3 linked regions of the Oryctolagus cuniculus genome follow. The protein of the gene in region 2 purifies or fractionates together with the protein of the main gene of each other region. This does not show direct contact. Links are inferred from orthologs where the notes say so. Each region holds a gene or a part of one and is shown on either strand. Other genes may lie near its edges.

Region 1 (3,652 bases), on a different chromosome or scaffold from region 2:
CACAAGTTACATTTTAATGTGGTGGTCTGCATAGGAAAGAGGAAAAGTCTTAGTGGTTCTTAGACTCACTAGCTACGGTACCAATTTACTCAACATACTCTAAATCCCAGTTTCCTTATTTATAAAAAGGTTATAGCACAGTACTTGGTCCAGAGCACTCAACCATAACATTAACACTCACTATTATTACCATCAGTAATAACACTACCATCAGCTCAGTATTACCATCAGTAATGAAGAATCATTAAAGCTCAGTGATTTTCACTGAGTACCAGTAATAGAATCCTATCCTTTGCATATGCCCAATAAAATGCTTACACTAAACATAATTTTTAAAATAAAACAACTCTGACAAATATGTACACATTTACATAGCAATTCTAAATTGAATAAATTTAATTTGAAGTTTACTGTCAAATATTTTCTGTTTACCTTTTTGGAGTATATATATAAGTTAGGTGTTCTGCCTGGGACTGGAATGCCAGCTTTAGTTAACTTTATGAAATACTTCTGTACTCGGCTCGCAACCTAAAGAAACATGACAAGCCCTTTAACATAATGACATGGTACGGAATATCTAAGTAGCTTTTAAAAATTAAAATGTAAATGTCAATCAATCATCGCTAACAGTTTAAAATTCATCATAAAGTCTAGAATAAGTTCAAATTGCCACTAAATACATTTTTATTTAACACCACATACTATAGCACTCCATGGCTAAAAAGGATATGGTGGCTCAGCTGATTCAGCTGTGCTAGCCTTCATTCAAAAACTACCAAAACCATGCCAAGGACCCGCAGCTGTCTCCTCAAGTACCTGTTTTGCCGTCCTATTGCCCAGTTCATCTGCTATCTTCTGCCAGCGTCGAGATTCTACTTCTTCAGGAGGGTATTTCAGGAGTAGCTGTTCAAGTTTTTTCTAAGCAAGCACAAGACCAAATTTAAGAAAACAACTATTCAATCTGAAATACTGAATTTATAAATAAATACATTCACAATACATTGTCATACAATGTAATACATTGTAATACAAGTGTAATCCTCCTTCCACAACTTGGGGGTTGTGTTAGAAAATAAGACTCAGGGGCTGGTGCTGTGGCATAGCAGGTAAAGCTGCTGCCTGCAGTGCCAGCATCCCATATGGATGCCAGTTCAAGACCTGGCTGCTCCACTTCTGATCTAGCTCCCTGCCAGTGGCCTAGGAATAACAGTGTTTGGGCCCCTGCCACCCACGTGGGAGACTGGGAAGAAGTTCCTGGCTCCTGGAGCCTGACCAGCCTTTGCAGCCAAATTGCAGCCAAATTGGGGAGTGAACCAGCGGAAGGAAAATTTCTGTCTCTCTCTCTTTCAAAATAAATAACCTTAAAAAAAAAAAAAAAAAAGACCTAATTCACTTAAGTTAAAAAGCACAAGAAAACAGAAAATAAGTAAGTAAACAGGTCTTCTACACAGCTCAGTGATTTCCACTATCTTTTTCCTGCTGGAATATGCCAGGCTCTCCCCTATACTTTTTAACAAAAAATGCAAATTCATTTGGATTTAGAATATTAAGAGCTATTTCCCCTCCTTGTGTGGTTCTCCATTCAAAGTATTCAAAACCCATCTCCTAAATTATTTCAGGGTCTTAAATATGGAAAATAATCTGGATGCTTGAAATAAGTAAAGGTTTCCTAAAGCCTTTTATAAACTGCTAAACTCATTATAGCTATGGAGTTAATCCCCATATGGGTCACAGATGTGTCTCAAACTTCACCCACAAACAATCCTAGCCTAATACCAAAAACAATCCTAAACTGTATGCCAGAATGTGAGAGAACACTGCCATGGCCTTGCCAGATTCCCTCCACACACAAATTAAGAACGCACTCTGAGTTCTGCTTACTTGGCCTCATGTTCTACCCCCTAACCCCAGAAATCTGGATTACAAAACAACTACTCCACACCACTCCCGAAACTCAGGCTTCCTTTAAAAATTATCCCCAAACAGGGGTTGACATATTCTCAAGATCCAAAAAGTCTTTTAGTGTAAAGAAGAGTATGTACAAATATAGCTAAATATTTTAAACTCATGATTAAGAGGGATTCCATAAACAATATGTACTTGGCTCATAATGCACTGACTCTAATATTAACAACTTTTTTTTAAAATATACACAATTTAAAATATTACCTGTTCTTCAACAGTCCACAGTTGGTTAAATGTTTCTGGTTTGGTATCATCACAAAGGCGGCCTCTTATCATCTGCACATAAAACAAGGTTTTCGTCAAAGGGACAATAATAAAGACTACCTTTTGATAAAGCCAAATAACATACAAATTGTTAAATTTTTAAAGAATTTCAACATATTTTAGTAAATTTATTTTCTAAAGGTAAACATCAGTTTTTACTATTTATAAAATGCTCTTACATTCTTGTAGTTAATTTGATTTTATAATCCTAGTAATCCTGTGATGTAGATGACAGCAACTTCATTTTACAGAAAAGAAAATAAGAAAATGGGAGTTCAAAATGGAAAACTCTCTCAGTCTAACTCTGCCTTTCAATAAATAAATAAAATCTTAAAAAAAAAAAAAGCAGGGGGGTGATGACAGTGTGGCAGCGCCATCCGAGACTCTGGACACTGACTCTGCTGCTCCACTTCTGATCTGGAAAGTAGTGTAATATGTCCTAAACAGGTACAATGTGTCAAGCGCTTCAGCTCCTGCTGTTCACATGGGACACTGGAATGGAGTTCTTGGCTTCTGGCTTCAGCCTGGCCCAGCCCTGACCTATACAGCCATTTGGGGAGTGAACCAGCAGATGGAAGGTCTCTCTCTCTCTCCCAGTCTCTCTGTAACTCTGCCTTTTAAATAAACAAAATCATTTTTAAAGTGGGAAAATTAACATGTCTGGTTAGGTTCATCTAATGGTCACAAGTATAGGCCTTAAATCCTGGTTAATATTCCACTATACACCAAAAGTCATTGTAATTTTTAGGGTCAATACTGTGTGTCAAATACTGGACTAGAAACATTCAATGTATCTACCCACTGAATCCTAACAATAACTTTACAATATAGGTAATATTAATTTCATTTAATATTAGAGGAAACTGTAACTTGGAGATTTTAACATAACATAAATGATATCTAAGGCTCCACAGGGAGCAAGATGGGACTCCAATGTGCTTCTCCAAACTTCAAAGATCATGTTCCAGTTAAAGACTGCTTTAATTTTAAAAATCATAAACCTGTAAAATGTTAAAACATTTCATCTACAATTCAAATTTTCCTACTCCAATGTTTCATACTGCTCACCTGAGGACGACTGTGTGAGCCTTCTGGACCATCACTCAAAGGCAACACAGAGTATGAAAGAGACTCTCCATCCTTCTTAGGATCTAAAGGACTTTTTGGTCTAGCGGGTAAACCTACTAAAAACAAGACCATGTACAGAATTAAGCAAGTAAGACAATGTCAGATTTTTTTTATTTAAATTCTTACATAACTTCTTACCTTTATCAAAAACTAGTTTAACTCTCCTAGTATGTCTTTTACGATTTTTAAATTCCCTTTCAAAGTTTCCAAGGCTATTGGTATATTGGTCCCATACAATTTCAGGCAACTGAACAACTCTCTGTGGATATGGAAGCCCTATATCAGCCTGAAAAAA
Region 2 (3,652 bases):
AGTGTAGGGGCTGGGGTGGTGGGTTAAGCTACCCTTATGACACCAGCATCCTGTATCAGAGTGCCAGCTGAAGCCTGGGCTGCTTTGCGTCCGCTCCAGTTCCCTGCTAATGTGTCTGCAGAAGCAGACAATAGCGTTAAGTTCCTGGTCCCAGCCATCCAACTTGGGAAACCTGAACGGAGAGTGCCTAGCTCTAGATGTTGCAGGCACTGGAAAGTGAACCAGTCGATGGAAGACCTCTGTACCTTAACAAAAACCAAACTGAACAGTTTCAGAAGACAAAACAAAAACGTAGTAATTCAACTTACCTGAGGGGGTTGAACTTTTCTTCTTTTTCCAGAAAAGTTCTAGAATAAATGTTAAAAGAAAAGTATTCAATATTTAGTTAATGTAAGCATCGTTTTCCCTTTAGAAATTACTATACAGAACACAGAGCTTTTAATAACCCTGACAGAAACAATGCCCATAAACTCAGAAAACAGTATCTGCAACCAACGGGAAGTTGGCTTCGGAAGATCATGACAGTGGAAGTACCCAACAGTAGTGACACTGCAGCATCACACTTGGCTCTGCCATACTCACTCTCCTGTTATGGGCCACTTCTAATAGACTGAGTGTGGGGGCGGTGTCCTGGGGATTTTCACTTAATGTCCTTTTTATAACCTTTCTATCCCCCAACACTGAACAACCAGAGCAGCAATAAAGAGGAAAATGGAATTTGGCACCAGACCAAGGGATGAACCCTGATTCACTGTAGCAGGCACTGTGGTTACCCAGGCATGGGCACCTAAACACGTAATTGTGAGCACAACACACTAAAGAAACAGCTGGGACCCAGCTTCCATTGTTTTATCTTAGCAGGTACCGGCTAGCTATGGTTACAATACCCACATCCCACTGGAAAACATGCAAGTCCAGGGAGCCACGCTCTAAGGAAACTCAAGAGTAAGGAGGCCTCTCCCATGACTACAACTGATTAAAAGCAAAGAAAGTGGTTAAAGCGCAACTGAATCTGCACACCGAGGTCCTAAATGTTCCCTCTGGTCCCACTGCTCTCCAGCTTTGTCCCTGTCTTCTTTTTGTCTTTTTTCTTTTGTCCCGCTTCCTTGACTCCAATTTCTCCAACTCAGACTTCATAATGCCGCTAGAAGGGGACTTAGATGACAACTCTCTCAAAAACTAGAATGTGTTCCAGTGACTCTGACAGTGCAAACTGGTTAATGTGACCTTCAAAGCCCTCTGAAATGTTTTCTAATTTGTATCCAGCTGCTTTCAACCGTTTGCTCCGGCCTCAGGTTCACCACTCACTTTCACTCACAAAGGGCCTCCAGGCATGATGCTGACTTGACCTGCAGCGTTCCTGGCCCCAGATACTACTTTTTAAAAGAGTTAGCGTTACAGACTGGAATTTATGTCCAGGCTCTGCTTTGGAGCACTTTCAAAAGTCCAATAATAAACTATCAGTCCCATCCACTCATCTGCACATTTACTCCATGTCTATATTCTGTGTACTGAAGAATGAGGACACAGTTCCTGCCATTGAGAGTTTCAAAACAGAGTGAAAAACAGATGTGTAAACATAATTATAAGTGGTAAGTGCTATAAAATGAACTAATGCTAGAACTGAGGACTTAAGTAAAACAGGTGGCAGTGTGAGGTCTGGTATGAGGAAAGGTACCAGGTATGAGTTGAGGGAAGGAGTGTGTGGGGAGAGAGGGATGAAGTCAAAGAAGGGCTAACTACAAAGCATGGTTTCAGAGGAAGCCTCGGATTCAAAATAGCAAGTTTACAGGGATGGCATCCTCCACTATCCAGGCTGACAGATTGTGCTGCAAAAATGGATCATGTCTGAGAATTTGAGAGAGCTATAAAAGTATCCTTTTAAAAATATGCAAAATTGGGAGTTTTCAAAGAAACCCCTAACATGGGACTGTGTTCGTTCATCTATCTATTAAAACTGTTTTCACATATAGATCAATGAATGAAATGTTACACAATGAAGAATCTTAAAATATTGCCTTTAGTTATTTTTAAAAGATACTTATACTCACTATAGACTGAAAGTATTCAGGAGAGATGCCTTCCAATTCAAGTATTTTATCCTCAAGTTTTTTAATCCTCTGATAAATGTCTCTTGGCACTGGACCACCTAAATACAAAATAAAAATTTCTGAGACATTCTTCAATGTTTCTTCTTACAACCTTTATTCTTAAAATACCATGCAAAGACACTTATACAAAGGAATAGGAAATAAGCAAACAAAAGTCAGAATGAAATCCTTAGCTCCTATTTCCATGTTATACACTATTGGACATATCCTCTCGCCACACACCAATAATTCTTCCTTTTTGGCTAGGAGTCCTGTTTTCCACTACATTCATTTCACAAGACACTGAATAGCTTCTGTAAAGATCAATTTGCATTTCTGTTGGGCTTTGGTAGTTACTTGGCAGGAGAAACATACACAGGGACACATGACAACTCAGGGGTTGCAACATGTTCTATCGTTACTTTCTTCTATTTACATTTCTCCCTACATGCCACATTTCCTCCTCTGTCCCAGAAAAGTATTGAAAAGCAGCTTTCCCACAGATTTGCATTAACAAACTTTTGGGGAAGAGGGACAGGTAATTGAGGGCCCTCAACTTTCAAGTCCACAATTACATCCAAAATCCCACTTCTCACCACCTCCCCTGTGACCACTTTGGTTCAGACCACGCCCACCTCTCCCTGCATGATCAAAACCTTCAAACTGGTCTCCAATACAGCATCTGTGATCCTTCCAAAATGCAAGTCAGGTACTGTCCTTTCTCTGTTCAAACCATTTCACTTAGACTAAAAAAACAAAGCCCATAATGGCCTACATGGCTCACCACACCCTGGCCATTCTCCCCATACTCAGATGCTTCCAGCCACTTGATTGCTCTGATATTATTTAACAAGGATGCACACCTGACAGCTTTAGCAATTGTCCCTCTACTCTGAAAATCCCAAGGCTAACTCTCGCCAAGTTCAGGTCCTGGCTCAAAATAAGGCTTTCTCTGACCATCCTTTAAAGAATACTATTACCACCAGCACTTTATACTACAGAAACCTAGGAAGCATCATTTCCTAGACTACAGTGCCTGGCACGAAGCAGGTGCTCAGTGTGTACGGAATGAACAATCAGAAGATTGTTGCACATATAAAGACTGCATTTCCTATCAAAAGTATCAACCTGTTAAATATAAAAACCAGGGGCTGGTGCTGTGGTGTAGTAGGTTAAGCTGCTGCCTGCAGCACCAGTGTCCCACCTGCTCCACTTCCAATCCCATTCCCTACTAGTGGCCTGGGAAAGCAGTCAAAGATGGCCCCTGCACCCGGCTGGGAGACCTGGAAGAAGCTCCTGACTACCGATCAGCCCAGCTCTAGCCATTGTGGCCATTTGGGGAGTGAACCAGCAGATGAAAGACCTCTCTCTCTGTCTCTCCTTGTCTAACTCTACCTCTCAAATAAATGAATAAATCTTTAACATATATATAAACTCCAGAAAACTATCTTTTGACCTCAATTATTCTTGCTCTTGAGTAAAGTGAAATGAGTGACTTATTCATTTTCCTTTGCTGCTCTGTTTACCTAGAATCCCCGCACCTTATCAGAGCAAGTTCAAGC
Region 3 (3,652 bases), on a different chromosome or scaffold from region 2:
TGTGCGATGCTCAAGTGTGTTTCTGACTTTGAGACTGAGTCACTGAGAAGTGTACCTTGGCGACACACTTCCTGTGTTTTGACTGAGTTTTGAACAGTGAAGATCTTTATCTTCCCACCAAAGCTTTGGTGGTATGTAAGTGCCGTGTAGGCATTTTAAAGAAGCCTTAACATTTTCTCAGGTGGTAGAATCCTGATTTGTTCACAAAAGGGACTAATTCAGTGTCTCCTTTATTTTTTTCTTTTATCTAAATTACTGTTTGTGCGCCATAAACGTGAATGACATTATGCACTTTACAGACGATAACCTCATTTAGTGCTCACAGGAATCCAGTGAAGTAATTATTGTTGTTCCCATCTTACAGATAAGGAAGTGGAGACTGAGTAACATAATTGTATTTCCAAAGTTACGCAGCCACGTGGTGGCAGAGCAGGGATTTGATCACAGGGCTGTTTGGCTCTGGAACTGTGCGTGAAGCTGAAGAATGGGGTGGTTTCACAGAATTCCGTCCAGGCGGTATTGCGGGGTCATGTACCGTGACTCCCAAGGTGCAGGAGCTGGTGGTGATGTTGCTTGTCACCGAAGGCCTCATTTCCCGTGTGGGTTACTGGACTTGGATACTGCAGATGACCTGGGGTTTACAGGATGTTGATGGTGCTTATCTCCTCTTGTGGCAGGTGGCTGTGTTACTGCAATGTGCCACAGTTCTGTGACAGTCTACCTCGGTATGAAACCACCCAGGTGTTCGGGAGAACGTTGCTTCGCTCAGTCTTCACCGTTATGAGGAGACAACTGCTGGAACAAGCAAGACAGGAAAAAGACAAACTGCCTCTTGAGAAACGAACTCTGATCCTCACTCATTTCCCAAAGTAAGGGCGAGCTCTTGCTGGTCTTTGGCCCGGGACCTGTGGTTTTGCTAAATATGTGCCAAAATATGCATAAACAACAAAATTGGGAATGATAGGAGAAGCTTTCCACAAAGGAGGCAGAAAGGCCCTTCAGTTCCCTTTGTGAGTCTTCTTGGGTGTTTTCCAGTCTTCATTAGGTTGGCTTGATGTTGTCCACAGCCATTGCTCACTTTGCCCTACCTCCTTCTACCTCTGCTAATGTCTCTGAGCCTCATAGAATGGGGCAGTGCTTTGTTTTGTGTATCAGGTGCCAGGAAGTTAGAGGAGGAAGGAGAGAACATGTAGATACACTTTACCGCCTTTCAGAAGTGGTGCAAAGAACTCAAGAGGCTGTTTTTGTCCATTCCAGTTCTCCAACACTTCCTAAGTACCAGTGAACCTCTCTACCTCCCCAGTCTTTGGAATCCATGCTGAAAGAGCAGTGATGAACAGGACTAGAGGCTTCCTTCAGCCTGTCCTTTGTAACTCTTAATTTGTTGTATATTCTCGCTTCTTGGACTTCTGAGAGCTCCAAGACATAAATAATAATTTAAATCTTTTCCAATGAAAGAAATGTGTCAAAGCAATGGGAAGTTCCAGTACTGCGCCATTGGCCTTGGGAATGCATTTTCAGAGCTAAGAACCAAAACTTGATGCTGAAGGGCTGTCTGCTGCCTAGAAGGACTCCAGGTGCAGCTGATGGCTTGTCAACAGAGTGATGGTAGCAGGACACGAGTGAGACAGTTCATTTTGTGGTTGTCACGCCACCTCAATCAGCACTTCAGAGGGGGAGGTAGAAGGTTGAATTTGAGTAGGCTCTCTAGGTATGACATGGCTTTCCTTCCCCATGTCAGTGAGAAGTGCTGATACAGAGAATAGAAATTGAGAGAAAATTTATATTGTTTCATCAAGGACTGATGAAGTATTTTTTAGTTGAGAAACTAGATTTTTATTATTAAGATATACTTTAAGAGCCGGCGCCGTGGCTCAGTAGGCTAATCCTCCACCTTGCGGCGCCGGCACACCGGGTTCTAGTCCCGGTTGGGGCGCCGGATTCTGTCCCGGTTGCCCCTCTTCCAGGCCAGCTCTCTGCTATGGCCAGGGAGTGCAGTGGAGGATGGCCCAGGTGCTTGGGCCCTGCACCCCATGGGAGACCAGGAAAAGCACCTGGATCCTGGCTCCTGCCATCGGATCAGCGCAGTGCGCCGGCTGCAGCGGCGGCCATTGGAGGATGAACCAACGGCAAAGGAAGACCTTTCTCTCTCTGTCTCTCTCTCTCACTGTCCACTCTGCCTGTCAAAAAAAAAAAAAAAAAGATATACTTTAAGTTTTAAGCTTTTTATTCAGTGAGAAATGCATAGGAGAGTGAGGGCCCTATCTAAGAAAGAAAGGGAAATCTGGATTCATACTGAGTACCAGGAGCCAGCCACGTGGAGGAGCATGCAGGCCAGGAAGCATGGGGCAGGTGGCTTGAAGGTCACTTGCCCCAAAGGCACGAAGGCGCCGGGACAGTAAGCAGGTGCAGGGACAGCAAGCAGGCCCAGGGCAAAAGGGAAAGAGGCCAAAAAAGAGGATGGGCCCATCGTGTTCCAGGCCTTTACTCCACTTCCAAAGGGGAATGGTTAATTAACCGTATTGGCTGGTGGGCACACAGGTGTGGCCAGGTAGGGGCATGAGGTCACACAGGAGGCATGGTGAAGGCATGGTCTTGCAGCCCACAAACCTGATCAGTTTTATCCTGTATGCCTGCCTACAACATTCCCCTTTTAGAGACTCCATTCTCTTAATCTTAAGGGATGTTGAAGGGTGTCAAATCATCATGTCTTCTATAGCTGCTTCCTGCTTATGAAGGGCGTAGTGCAGGCCCTGCGTGACCTGGGTCTGGAAATCTCTGTCTGTCTATAAGATATGCTTTTGCATTACCCAATCCTGCCTTACAAAAACTGGTTTTAATTCATAAGAAGAAGTTAGGCCAAGACAATAACAGTAACAAAAATAGTTTTCTGATAGTGATTGAAAATCACTGGGCCGTTTAACCCAAATCCTAAAGTTTAGGTACAGGATAGCATGGATAATTTGAATGAGCTTCAGCTGAACACCCATTTTTTGCCTACATATCCTAGCATCCTGATTGTCAAATTTTTCTTAAGAGAACCAGCGCACAAGACTGAGGCATGATGTGGACATTTTAATGTCCTCTGAGAGGAGGATTCCAAAGCATTGTAGCTTTAGTTTGAACCCTAAAATGGGTTATGAATTCTGGGCATGCTCATGTATTTCAGTGGCATCCTTTTGACTTATCTAAGCTCTTCTCTTTAGAGATTAAGCCAGTTTTCATATTTATCTTTCTACTGCACTTGCCATATAAGCAGTGTTGTATGTTTTCAGATGATAGTTGCTATTCTGTCTCTAAGCCAAGGACCAAGGGGCAGAGGACCCCACTCCCTGCCCCCCCAGCACACACACCTGTTACGGTGCTTACAGAGAAATTCTAATGGTTTTGCAAAGTTACAATTTTTTTCATGGAAAATTCATTTTGGTTTTTGTAGATATTTGCTAATTATAGTGTGTTTTGTTCCTTCAGCCCATAGTTCTGGCATGCTTATGCTGTTGAGCTAAAAAATTAACACTGCTTTCTTTTCTTCTCTGTTACTAATGGTAGGGTAAAACTACCACCCACTTCTCCTTTTAAATCCCTTTTCACTGAATACGACAACATTTGAGGTGGTTGGGGATTTGTACCTAGAGTTTTGGCAGCAGAGTCA

The links.
Region 1: the proteins of MBIP (region 2) and ZZZ3 purify together in Homo sapiens (affinity purification with mass spectrometry; 4 studies listed by BioGRID and IntAct, counting the BioPlex papers as one, with this or other methods). This does not show direct contact. The link is inferred for Oryctolagus cuniculus from reciprocal best matches to the Homo sapiens genes MBIP and ZZZ3.
Region 3: the proteins of MBIP (region 2) and KAT2B purify together in Homo sapiens (affinity purification with mass spectrometry; 4 studies listed by BioGRID and IntAct, counting the BioPlex papers as one, with this or other methods). This does not show direct contact. The link is inferred for Oryctolagus cuniculus from reciprocal best matches to the Homo sapiens genes MBIP and KAT2B.

The regions. Positions count from the first base shown.
Region 1 is NC_091438.1:94,227,681-94,231,332, reverse strand, and holds part of ZZZ3 (ZZ-type zinc finger-containing protein 3), read right to left. Parts: intron 3,644-3,652; coding exon 3,496-3,643; intron 3,414-3,495; coding exon 3,298-3,413; intron 2,242-3,297; coding exon 2,170-2,241; intron 919-2,169; coding exon 817-918; intron 529-816; coding exon 433-528; intron 1-432.
Region 2 is NC_091443.1:39,337,829-39,341,480, reverse strand, and holds part of MBIP (MAP3K12-binding inhibitory protein 1), read right to left. Parts: intron 2,150-3,652; coding exon 2,052-2,149; intron 348-2,051; coding exon 309-347; intron 1-308. UniProt on the Homo sapiens protein: Inhibits the MAP3K12 activity to induce the activation of the JNK/SAPK pathway. Component of the ATAC complex, a complex with histone acetyltransferase activity on histones H3 and H4.
Region 3 is NC_091435.1:155,735,779-155,739,430, forward strand, and holds part of KAT2B (histone acetyltransferase KAT2B), read left to right. Parts: intron 1-677; coding exon 678-869; intron 870-3,652. UniProt on the Homo sapiens protein: Functions as a histone acetyltransferase (HAT) to promote transcriptional activation. Has significant histone acetyltransferase activity with core histones (H3 and H4), and also with nucleosome core particles.